2 linked regions of the Saccharomyces cerevisiae S288C genome follow. The protein of the gene in region 1 interacts with the protein of each later gene in a biochemical or structural test. Each region holds a gene or a part of one and is shown in the gene's direction. Other genes may lie near its edges.

Region 1 (5,908 bases):
GACAGAGCTGATTATCCTTACTTGGGTGAAGTTGAAGTTGTTGTGATAAGGTTAGAATGCAAATGAAGCTTTGTCAGCGCTGAGAAAGAAAATTTTGTTTTGTGAGCCACTACTATCACGTGCCATTACCATTTTAATCAGTTATGAAATAGGGGAATGTGTCATTGAGGGAAAATGTAATGGCCACCAAATGAATCAGAGGGTCGGATGAGAACACACCCTTACTAACTGCTGTTCATATCTCACAGTTGCCATTGATAAGCTCTGGTGGGAAAATACCCTTGATTTTTGGTAGCACATATTGACATAACAAAAGTCTTGACTTTGCCAATTGGAGAGATGGCCACTTATAGAGGAAAATACTCGTAAAAATAATCATAAACAGTAAGCCATGTCAGTATCTTACAAGGGAACAATTTCTAAGACACATTCTGTTTTTAAACCAGAAAAAGGAAGGTATTATATTTACGGGGCCCTTGGGTGTCCATTCACTCATAGAGCCATTCTTGCCAGGTCTTTGAAGAAATTAGAACCTGTTCTAGGGCTTGTGTTATCTCACTGGCAATTAGACTCCAAGGGTGCCCGTTTCTTACCTGCTCCACACCGGCCGGAAAAATATAAAGAGAGATTCTTTACTGCCACTGGTGGCATTGCTTCAGCTAAATTAGACGAATCTGAGGAGTTAGGTGATGTGAACAATGACTCTGCAAGGTTGTTCGTGGATGGCGCTTTCGACCCGGTGGAAAATATATCAAGGTTAAGCGAGTTGTACTACTTAAATGATCCTAAGTACCCCGGTACAAAGTTCACTGTGCCTGTTCTGTGGGATTCTAAAACAAGGAAAATTGTTAACAATGAGAGTGGCGATATCATAAGAATTTTGAACAGTGGCGTGTTTGATGAATTTATCCAAAGCGAAGAAACGAACGTGATTGATCTAGTTCCGCATGATTTAATAGACGAGATTGATAAGAACATCAAATGGGTTCATCCGAAGATTAATCTTGGTGTCTATAAAGTCGGATTAGCAGAAAACGGAAAGATTTACGAAACTGAAGTAAAAACACTGTTTGAAAACTTGCAGAAGATGGAATGTGTACTAAAAGAAAATTATAAGCGCTTAGAGGAGCAATTCAGTGGTAACAAACAGAAAATCTTGGCTAAATATTTTGTTTTAGGACAGAGGTTAACTGAAGCGGATATCAGATTGTATCCATCAATAATTAGATTTGACGTCGTGTACGTGCAGCACTTCAAATGCAATTTGAAAACTATAAGGGATGGTTTCCCGTACCTTCATTTGTGGTTGATTAATCTATACTGGAATTACGCAGAGTTTAGATTTACTACAGATTTTAATCATATTAAGCTCTTTTACATCAGGATGGAAGTAAGTAGGAACAAGATCAATCAGTTTGGTATAGTGCCATTAGGCCCAAAGCCTGACATTTCTAGATTATGAAAACTTCTAATATTTTCTTACACACACATATATTTATATGCATGGCTATACTTCAAAAGAGGTTGTCACTTCCATTTCCATGTAGGTAAAACTCGTGTATAGACGGAACACAGACTTCCCTAGTTTTATTGACTTCATAGTCTCTGCACCATTCAATTATGTCTCTGTAAAAGAGACTCTTCTTTATATCGCCCTTTTCTATATTCTCCATCTCCAGTTCTTTGAAGCATTTTGCTTTTCTCGATTTATGACAACCACACGGTTTTACACTCTCCTCTCCATGTTCTACCATTTCATGCCTCCAGTCAAAAAATGGTTGACTGTATTCCCTACTTGAATCCATACTTGATTCAACAAGGTAGTTTCTCGAATTCTCAGGTAGTACTGCCACCCTCCTTAAACGTTTCTCTCTTTGTCTTGCTTCCTTTCTTTGTTCTATTTTTGGCGGAATGGTAAATTTCACAGGATTCTTGGATCCATTCTCATTTTCATTCAAGGCATTTAAGTCCAAGGAAAATAACCGTATGCTCACGTTGGACCCTTCAAACGTGAAACTATCTTCACTCAATATACTTCCTACACCGCATTGTTCCTCGTTACTACTTGAATCCTGTATATCTGAGAGAGAGGTAAAAAATGAGTAGGTATCTCTTTCCCCCTCACATTCGTAAGTGCCGACTTCTTTATTCAAACAGGCCTTTCCCATTTCTCAAAGACCTCTTTTCGTAACCTATTTAGTAATGATGAAAAGTATTAAACAGTATTTTCAAGATAAGAATTTTATTATTTTGTACCATTTACGATACACATAAACCCCAGAAAAAAACAACTTTATGGGAAAAGGCGAATAGTACTCATAATATACAAGGTAAAAGCAGGCGTATCTCAGTCATACAGTTCAATAGAGAAAGGCATTTTTGGAATATCATACATTTTATCTAGCAAGTGGAAACAGACTGTATATTCCCAAGAATCATCGCCTTTTTATCACAACGTCAGCCTCACAACTAATTCGCGTCAAAGCGCATTCATCCTCGACATTCTCAAACGCGAAATATCGTCGAAAAAGGTTAAAAAGAAAAGAGAGAAGGACAGAAAAAGAAAAAAGTAAAGTAGAGCTCGATCTCGAAAAAAAGAACCATTGCGTTCGTTCTTAACTACGCCAAGAAGTTTTTGAAATTTCATCCTCTCCACTGAACAATAATACTATTATTTAGTAACGATATAGAACATTTACATACAACGTTCTAATATTTTGGCTTCTATCATCGCTTAGAAATATTTGGCTAGGAAACATTAGGACTAATGAGAGACTATAAATTAGTAGTATTGGGTGCTGGTGGTGTCGGTAAATCCTGCTTAACCGTGCAGTTTGTACAGGGAGTTTATTTGGATACGTATGATCCAACGATCGAAGATTCTTACAGGAAAACCATCGAGATCGATAACAAGGTATTCGACCTGGAAATTTTAGATACAGCGGGTATAGCACAATTTACTGCAATGAGAGAATTATACATAAAGTCAGGAATGGGGTTCCTGTTGGTATATTCAGTAACAGATCGGCAATCTTTGGAAGAATTAATGGAGCTAAGAGAACAGGTCCTTAGGATCAAAGATTCCGATCGCGTTCCAATGGTTCTAATAGGTAACAAGGCTGATCTAATCAATGAAAGGGTAATAAGTGTGGAAGAAGGTATAGAGGTAAGCAGTAAATGGGGTAGAGTTCCCTTTTATGAAACAAGCGCTTTGTTGAGGAGCAATGTGGATGAAGTGTTCGTTGATTTAGTTAGGCAAATCATTCGGAATGAAATGGAAAGTGTTGCAGTTAAAGACGCAAGAAATCAAAGTCAACAATTTAGCAAAATCGAGTCTCCATCAACCAGGCTCCCTAGTTCTGCGAAACAGGATACGAAACAATCAAACAATAAGCAATCATCAAAAGGTTTATATAACAAATCTTCACAAGGACAAGCTAAAGTTAAACAATCTACTCCGGTTAATGAAAAGCACAAACCGTCACATGCCGTTCCGAAATCTGGTTCTAGCAACAGGACAGGAATTAGCGCTACTTCACAACAAAAGAAAAAGAAGAAAAACGCTTCCACTTGCACTATTCTATAGTCACTTAATTTTATTATAAATGAATCAAGATATCAGATAAAAAGACTTTACTTGAAATAGTTTTATTATAGTTCTAAAAGGTTTAGTTTAAAGTATTAGCATACGTTGTATAAGTTTTTAAAGAAATCAATTAATAATGTTTGAAAATAAATTTAAACCCAAAAAAAATGAAATGTTAAAAATATGGACGCAACCGGAATCGAACCGATGACCTCTTCCTTGCAAGGGAAGCGCGCTACCAACTGCGCCATGTGCCCGCAATCTATGGGATTTTACGGTAGATGCTGCGTTACGTATAAAAAATATTAAATGAACAGATCCACACTCTCGTAACTAAAGCTCACACTGTAGTTTCTTATAGTTTATGTTGATTGATATAATTAATTCAGAGGGTCTTTAGTCTCAGATATACTTCGCAATTACTTAAAAGAGTAATCGTTAATGTTTTCCCTCCAACATAGTCGTTATCGTTTAGCGTGCGTTATCAAGTTTCAACGATGACAAAATGATTGATTAATTAGTCCATTTTTCTTTCCTATCTAGTAAAATCAAAGTGTTTCTTCTCAACCTGAGATCTAACTCACTGTATTGATATTGAAAATCTGAGTAGTCTTCTAAAAAGCACAGAAATTAGGCCGATGTTTTCGACTTCATATCTCGTCGTGAGGCTGTTTCGCACGCCTTTTATTTGTTTAGATCGGACATTTAGGGTGATTCATATCAGGTCATATTGCGGCATCTCATCTCAAGAATAAAATAGAATTACTGTGTTTGACAATGGTCTATCGTCCACTGATGGAACAAAAGTCGGGAGCAATTCTTGTAAATGGAAGAATACAAAATGGCCACCAGTAGCGGTGAAAATGGTTTAGTAGTCATCCCTCCTTTAATACGAAACATTCAGTGGGTCTCCGTGAACGTCTCTATTCTATTTTCGATAATCGATCCACTGACTCTCAGGCGCTTCTTATATTATCTTTCTCGATATTATAAATCAGCCGATACAGGGTTACACCAAGTGTCTTTACATAATCCTGACTATCATGACCTACTTCCAATCTTATCATCTAAATGACTGTACATTCGTTCTTCTCTCATAATGCTTGCTTGCTTGTGAAAAATGGGTGAATAATTGCATTATTGTTGGGATTCCACTGTTGATAAAGATCACATATAACATTATGGATAAGGAATATACTAGAAACTCTCCTCCAGAACATAGCGCCCACAAAAGGGAATCGATATCTCTACATAATGCTATTATTTTTTCTTCCTTGTCGCACATTATCTTACTTCATCATCAATCCTCGTGTCTCTGCTTACATTAAGTTTGATGACCGTTTCTCAATCTTTATGACATCTTCTTACACAGTGTATTGCAAAGTACTAGTAATATGAATTCAAATCGATCGATGGTAACTGATTCTTATTGCAAAAGATCTGCCTTGCTCTAACCTTTTTTCTGAGATAGAGAGTTAGCTCTACTTCCACACCAATATCTGAGCGTCGGACAGGATTGTGAAAAATTGGAGGCATAAAATGTAAAAGCAAAGCCATAGTCCATAGTGCACAGGAAAATAGCATTGTTTCACAAGTCCTAACAGATAGATAAATATAAACATGTACATGGCCAGATGTGGCCCCAAGAATAATGTGCTGTGTTTCCCATTTCAACTTTCCTTTCTATTTTCAAAACGACTAATAAATAAGCGTTTCAAGTATACCCTACAAACTGAAGATGAAAAGAATATGATGGGGAGTTTAAGTAAAAATAAAATAATAACACCTGAAGACGTTGAGTTCAAATTAGCACAATTACGAGAATTTTCTAATACTTTAAAAGAACGCATTCACAACACTAAATCGGTGAATTCAGATGGCCACCAAAGCAATAGTATCGCACCAATCTCAGAAGACTCAAGGAATGTTAATGTCACCAAAACATCATCTGTTCCTAATGAAGAAAAATCCAAAAATCTATCAGATTTGATTCATTCTTCGTTTTTAGAAAAAATGGATCACCTCGTACCAAAAGTTATAAGAGAAAGAGTAGCAGACGACGACATACTTGCAAAAAACCTTTTTGATAGATCACACAGTAATTGGGCACCTGTCATAGATAGGCTTTATGTCAGTGAGAAACGGTTCATGGATATTGATTCCAGAGAATTTTCTGTTTGGTTAAATGGTACAGTCAAATATTTGCCATTTCATAGTATACTACACTTGGATGAAATGCTATTAGAACAAATCAATGGAGATGTTGTAAAATTTAATACCCACATGTACGAATGTATCTTTAACAACTTAGGAAATTTAAAA
Region 2 (6,460 bases), on another chromosome or scaffold:
AAAAATCAAACCTGCTATTGGGACCCGTACTTCCATTTGGATTTACCAACTTGATTCTTCTATCAGAGACGAAGGCCCTTATAAACCTTGAACCTGAGCTTAAAATTTACATATTACTTTCTTGTAATCATTAAGTATGAATTTGCAAGGCGTTTACATGAAAAGAGGTCGGCATAGTACATATGGAAATTTACTGGTATGCAATCCATTATGTGTTATCATATCTTTTTTACATAACAGGCACTTCTGAAATTCCCCCTCTTGTATGCCCCTATTTACTCCTTTTTAAATTCTTCGGATTATTATTTAGATCGTGATTCTCTCTACTCAAACATTTCCTTGAACTTGTATAACGGGGAAATAAATCTGAAAAGCAATACATTTGCGCACTGTTAAAACTGGAAAGGAAGAATGACAACCAGCATACTCGATACTTATCCTCAAATATGCTCCCCCAATGCTTTGCCAGGTACTCCCGGCAATTTGACTAAGGAGCAAGAGGAAGCGCTTTTGCAATTTAGGTCAATCTTGTTAGAAAAGAATTACAAAGAAAGGCTGGATGATTCTACGCTATTGCGATTTCTACGGGCAAGGAAATTTGATATCAATGCTAGCGTTGAGATGTTTGTAGAAACTGAACGATGGAGGGAAGAATACGGTGCCAACACTATTATCGAGGATTATGAAAACAACAAGGAAGCCGAAGACAAAGAAAGAATCAAATTGGCCAAAATGTACCCTCAGTATTACCATCACGTTGATAAGGATGGGAGACCATTGTACTTCGAAGAACTAGGAGGAATTAACTTAAAGAAAATGTACAAGATCACTACCGAAAAACAGATGCTAAGAAACTTAGTCAAGGAGTACGAATTATTTGCCACGTACCGGGTCCCAGCGTGTTCGAGAAGAGCTGGCTACCTTATTGAAACTTCGTGCACTGTGCTGGACTTGAAGGGTATCTCACTTTCTAATGCTTATCATGTGCTTTCCTATATTAAAGATGTTGCAGATATCAGTCAAAATTATTATCCTGAAAGAATGGGTAAGTTTTATATTATACACAGTCCATTTGGTTTCTCGACGATGTTCAAGATGGTTAAACCCTTCTTGGATCCAGTAACCGTGTCAAAAATCTTTATTCTTGGCTCTTCTTATAAAAAGGAATTATTAAAACAAATTCCAATCGAGAACTTGCCTGTTAAATATGGTGGTACATCTGTCTTGCACAACCCTAATGATAAGTTCTACTATTCCGATATTGGTCCCTGGAGAGACCCTAGATACATCGGACCAGAAGGTGAAATTCCCAACATTTTTGGTAAATTTACTGTTACCAGCTAACTATGATACAGGCCTTCGTCGTAGCTTTCCGTGAATATAGCATGCATACTCTATAATATGTATATCTCTGTATCTAATAATAATTAATGACTTTCATTCTTGAACGCGTTCTGTTCGATAAAAAAGAAAGGTATCCAAACAAACGCCATTTATGAAAACGGAGGAAGAAACAACAAAATAGTAGGAATAACTACTCGGTCAGACTGAAAACTTTATCCGTGCATACGTCGTGGTGTTTATCTTTGATTGTATCATATTATGAGCTCCAACAATGAACCGGCCCAAAGTCGAACATCATATTTCAAATTGAATGAATTTTTGTCCAACGTTAAGCATTACAAGAATACCTTTAAGGGTGAGATTCAGTGGTGTAATAACCTGTCCTTAAACGACTGGAAGACACACTATCTGCAAATTACCAGTACAGGTGCACTAACCCACTCAATCGATGAGTTAACAGCAGACTCTACTAATATTCAGCCAATTATCAAACATCTACAGCAATGTAGAATCGAGATTATTAAGGATAAGCATTCCTCTTTTAAGGATATTAATGCAAATTGTAATTTTATAATCCAAGTAAACACCTCAGGTAAAGATAATAAAGTTTACCTGCGAGTTAAAAGTTGGAGTGATTTCAAGAAATTGCTAACATGTCTGATCTGGTGGAGCTCAATGAAGACAAATGGTATATTTAATAAGTTTCAAGTATCGCGACCTCTAGAATTTAAAAGCAAAAAAATGGCGAAACCAGAAAGTTTGCTGGTTTACAAATTGAATGTTTTTGGGCCCATCGTTAAGAACATCGTCCTTCCGCCAGCAACAAATATTTTAGAAAGCCCTGATATAATTAATAATGATGACAACAGCGTAGGTTGGTTTTCCGCTATGGGGGTGCTTAAATCAAACGGCATGCTAGATCTTCTTTTACAGAGTGACGGCTCTCTGATTTACTCATTGAATATTAGCCAGCTTTTAAGATCAGAGATAAGAATTCTGGATTCATCTGTTTTACAAAGTGAAAACAGTTTGTTTTTAGGTGAATTGCCATTACTAAGGAGCCAGTTGGGCCTCGAAAAGTTTCGCATAGAAAATATTGCCAGTGCTGCCACCAACTCTAGTGATATTTCTCAAGAAATTATTGTAGAGTTTCCCTTAAGAATAGACCTGGAGGATTGTTTTATAGCGTTACAATCGTTCGCTAGGTCGGAATACTTATCTATTACTGGCTCAGATAAATCAAATGATATGAAGATATCGAATAGCTTTAAAATTTCCATACTGGAAGCTAATTTTCAGTCAATCAATTTAAATGACAAGAATAATACGCCATGGTCAATATTCACAGACATAACGGCCTGGGGCCATACATGGGCTAGAACATCCATGGTTTCAAACTCCTCTAATCCATTTTGGAGAGAAGAGTTTCAGTTCAATGAACTTTTAAGACTTACTAATTCTTATCTGGAAATCAAGCAGTTATTCCACGATCTCAATAATAAAAAACGGTTACGATTGATAGGCAAAATAAAAATCACACAAGAAATAATAAATGATACAAGATATAATAAGGAAACAAGACTACCCATCATGGACGTTGATAACAAAAATTTTCAAATAGGAACAATCTGTATTAAAATTTCTTCAAATTTGAACTTCATTTTACCGTCAACCAATTTCGTTAAATTGGAAAAACTTTTGATGAACGCAAACTTGTCCATGGTTTCCAATCTAATTTACAAATCTTCTTCATCAATGGAGAATGATAACAAATTGACGCAAACATCCATAATTTTTCTCGATATATTCCAATCTTTGTCAAGAATAGAAGAATGGTTCCACGTCCTTATAGACAAAGAATTGGCTAAAATTGATGGAACGGTTTCAAGAATAAACCAGAAAAATTTAGACTCAAAGCATGTTTTCAACAGTTTATTCCGTGGTAACTCTATCTTAACAAAGTCGATTGAACAGTACTTTTTCAGAGTGGGTAATGAATATTTGAGTAAAGCGCTTAGTGCAATACTAAAAGAGATCATTGAGTCAAACAAATCATGTGAATTGGATCCTGCTAGAGTAAAAGAAAAAGATGAAGTAAAAAAGAGGAAAATAATTGCCGACAACTACAAACGATTGTATTCTTGGGTTACGAAGATTTGGAAAAGGCTGTATGCAACGAGTAATGACCTGCCGATTGAAATAAGAAATGTTTTAAAAATCTTTAGGCAAAAACTAGAGATAATTTGTATCGATGACACTTTGCAAATAATTTTGAATGGTATATCAGGATTATTGTTTTTAAGGTTTTTTTGTCCAGTCATATTAAACCCTAAGCTATTCAAATATGTTTCTCAAAATTTAAACGAAACAGCAAGAAGGAATCTTACCCTAATAAGTAAAGTTTTACTTAATCTGTCCACTTTGACGCAGTTTGCAAACAAAGAGCCCTGGCTAATGAAGATGAATAACTTTATCGATAAAAGACACAATGACTTATTAGATTACATTGATAAAATGACGCAAAAGAAACTAGATTTTAATTCAAAGATATTGAACCTAAGTTCTACTATTTCGAGACCCAAATTGGCCATTGAACAAACGATGTTGGATGATTTGCCTCAGATTCCTTATCTGCTTGATAAGAATTTGAGAGAAACTGAGTTTGTTAACTTGATTGTTAATTTCAGTCAGGAAGATATGACCAAGATGGAAAAATACAATCACATGGATAATGGTGGGAAGGGAGAATTAATCGAAGAGGAGGGCCTGTTAAGCGGTAGCAGCCTAAATTTGTCTGTGGATAAAAAAGATTTGGATTCACCAATTGAGGTTAAGCCAGAAATTGGAGAGTTAGAATTTGAGAAAATAACTGAAAACAACACGGAGATCTTCGGAGATGATTTAATGAACCTACTGAAAAGCGATGATGTAGGTTCCAGAAGCAGAGATTTGGATAATGGCGCTAATTCAGGCATCAAATTTAATTCTATAATCCCGAAAGCAGAAGAGGAAAAGCATGCAATGAAAGAATTGGAGCAAGAGTCATGTTTACTCTATAATAGGATTAATCATATTAGAAAACGGTTGTCAGGTTATGAATGTGCTTCCAGCACTTTGTTTGAAGACAAAAAATACTCCATTTCACTCTCACATAAAATTTTTTATGAAGAAATAAAGGAGGGAAAAGAAATTGTTCTTAAACTACTAAATAAACCAACAAATGAAAACTCTTCCGCAAGATTGCAGAAATTCTTCACAAAAGGTGTCTCTAGTAAATCCAATAACACAGTTGGAGATAGTTACTGTAAATTTTTGACTATTGATGTAAGTGATGAGAATCCCAAGAGTAGCAACAAAACATCGGTACATGGAACATCATCGGAAAATGGAGCCAAGGATGATTACTTGACGCTTCCAAACTCGCAAGGTAAAGGTAACTTGGGGAATAGATTTTCCCCGACAAAGTTATCTAGGATAATGAGGAAACCTCCTAACGCAGATGTTCCTAAAGAACAAAATTCCCGTAAGCTGACAAGATGGTTCAAAAAGAAAAAAGAAACAGGGGGATCTTAATCGTAGAAAAAAATGTTCACTTCATATTCTTTCCTTTGAAAGTTTTTTTTTTTTTACTTCTTTATTCACTACTTGTAACAGTATATAGCGGGTTGTACTATCAGCAGAAAAAAGTAATTCATAATTTTTCAGAAAGATTTCTCATAATATAGTATATAAAAAAATGCTTCGAGAGGAGATGATAGACAGCGATAAGTATATGGAAATTTGGAAACCAAACAGGAGATACAAATGGGTATATATTATATTTAATAAAAACGAACAGATGGCGATCCAGAATGTGGAAATAAATAACAAAGTTGAACATCATACGGTTATTCCAAGGTGGCGAGAATGTTAGCCTGCAAAGGAACTTGCTAGTGACATCTCAATGAAAGATTTTTTCCTCCCAGCACCAAAGTTTGGTTTCGAAGACTGTTGCTGTTGTACTGGCTGCCTTGGTTGGTGGAATTGATTTGTATTTGTACCTAAAGGGAAATTTAGTGATGAGGAAGTGTTCGAATGTGATAATGATGAGGAGGTGTCCCCTGTATCGTTCGGACAACACGATGATATTTCACGGGGCCGATTATTTGAAAACCTTTCAATACTTTCTTCTGGGTCAGCAGTCAAAGTATCCAACCCAGGTGAAACGTACTTTTCCAAGCCATACAAATGTGTTGGTATGGCAATGGCAGAAGACCTTGATCTTGACCTGGGTAGAGAAAACGACCTTGAGTTGCAATGTTGAAGTGAGTTACTAGAGAATTCTGAATTGGGTGTTTCACTTTTCAGTAATACGTTGTTTTTCTTTTTAGTACACGCACCGCTAAAGAGCTCTGGTATAGACTGTCTGGAGGAGCTTGAGCTCCTTCCGTTCACTAAAAGGCCATTTATATTGGTATTACATTTTTTTAGCGGGTTCCTCATTGTGGTATTGTTCGATGAAGATGAAGTAAAGTACGACGTTGTTTTGGCCTTTCTCAAGCTAGGCATGCCTCCATATTTGGAGTCGACAGGGTCATGGACAGTAGAAGCTATGGAATTTGTATCAGAATTTGCCTCAGATACTGAGCCGTTTCTCGATGGAGCTAATTCTGACTCCGCTGGGAGTGCTTCATCTATTTTACACAGTGGATTCAGTGTCTGTTGACATTTAGCATTACACGGAGATGAATCAGGCTGAAAATTGAAGCTACTAAGCTTTGCTCTCAGTTCTTCATCTGCATCTTCTGTGTCACAGGCCTCACAACATGGGTCCTGAACAGCCCTTTCGAAAAAGTTCAAACAGTCTATATCGTCGATTGGACCCCGAGAATATTCATCGTTCATATCTCCTGCAGAAAGTGGTTTGTCTGTTGTTTTTTCCATCCTCATGTTGGGTAAATGTAATAATTCTTCTTACTTAGCACACACACCTGTTCTTTTACTCGAGTTCAGAACACATTAATCGATAACAAACGCAACAGTTAAAATGAGAATTGAACAAGAAACTTCTAAGGGTGGAATGGAGAAAAAAAAACCTCTGTATTTAGCGCCATTCGCACCAATAATACATTTTCAT

What was found. The genes of interacting proteins can lie anywhere in the genome.
Region 2: of the proteins of RSR1 (region 1) and BUD2, one has a biochemical effect on the other in vitro, tested with the Saccharomyces cerevisiae proteins (one study listed by BioGRID).

Annotation. Positions count from the first base shown.
Region 1 is NC_001139.9:792,352-798,259, reverse strand, and holds RSR1 (Ras family GTPase RSR1), read left to right. Parts: upstream 1-2,767; coding exon 2,768-3,586; downstream 3,587-5,908. Other genes in the region: GTO1 (omega-class glutathione transferase), read left to right, coding at 392-1,462; YGR153W (uncharacterized protein), read right to left, coding at 1,515-2,168; CCM1 (Ccm1p), read left to right, coding at 5,207-5,908. UniProt on the Saccharomyces cerevisiae protein: Ras-related protein which binds GDP/GTP and possesses intrinsic GTPase activity. Involved in development of cell polarity during the cell division cycle, and essential for bud emergence.
Region 2 is NC_001143.9:264,602-271,061, reverse strand, and holds BUD2 (GTPase-activating protein BUD2), read left to right. Parts: upstream 1-1,602; coding exon 1,603-4,917; downstream 4,918-6,460. Other genes in the region: YKL091C (phosphatidylinositol/phosphatidylcholine-binding protein), read left to right, coding at 412-1,344; MBR1 (Mbr1p), read right to left, coding at 5,254-6,273. UniProt on the Saccharomyces cerevisiae protein: Stimulates the GTPase activity of BUD1/RSR1. Participates in the regulation of bud-site selection.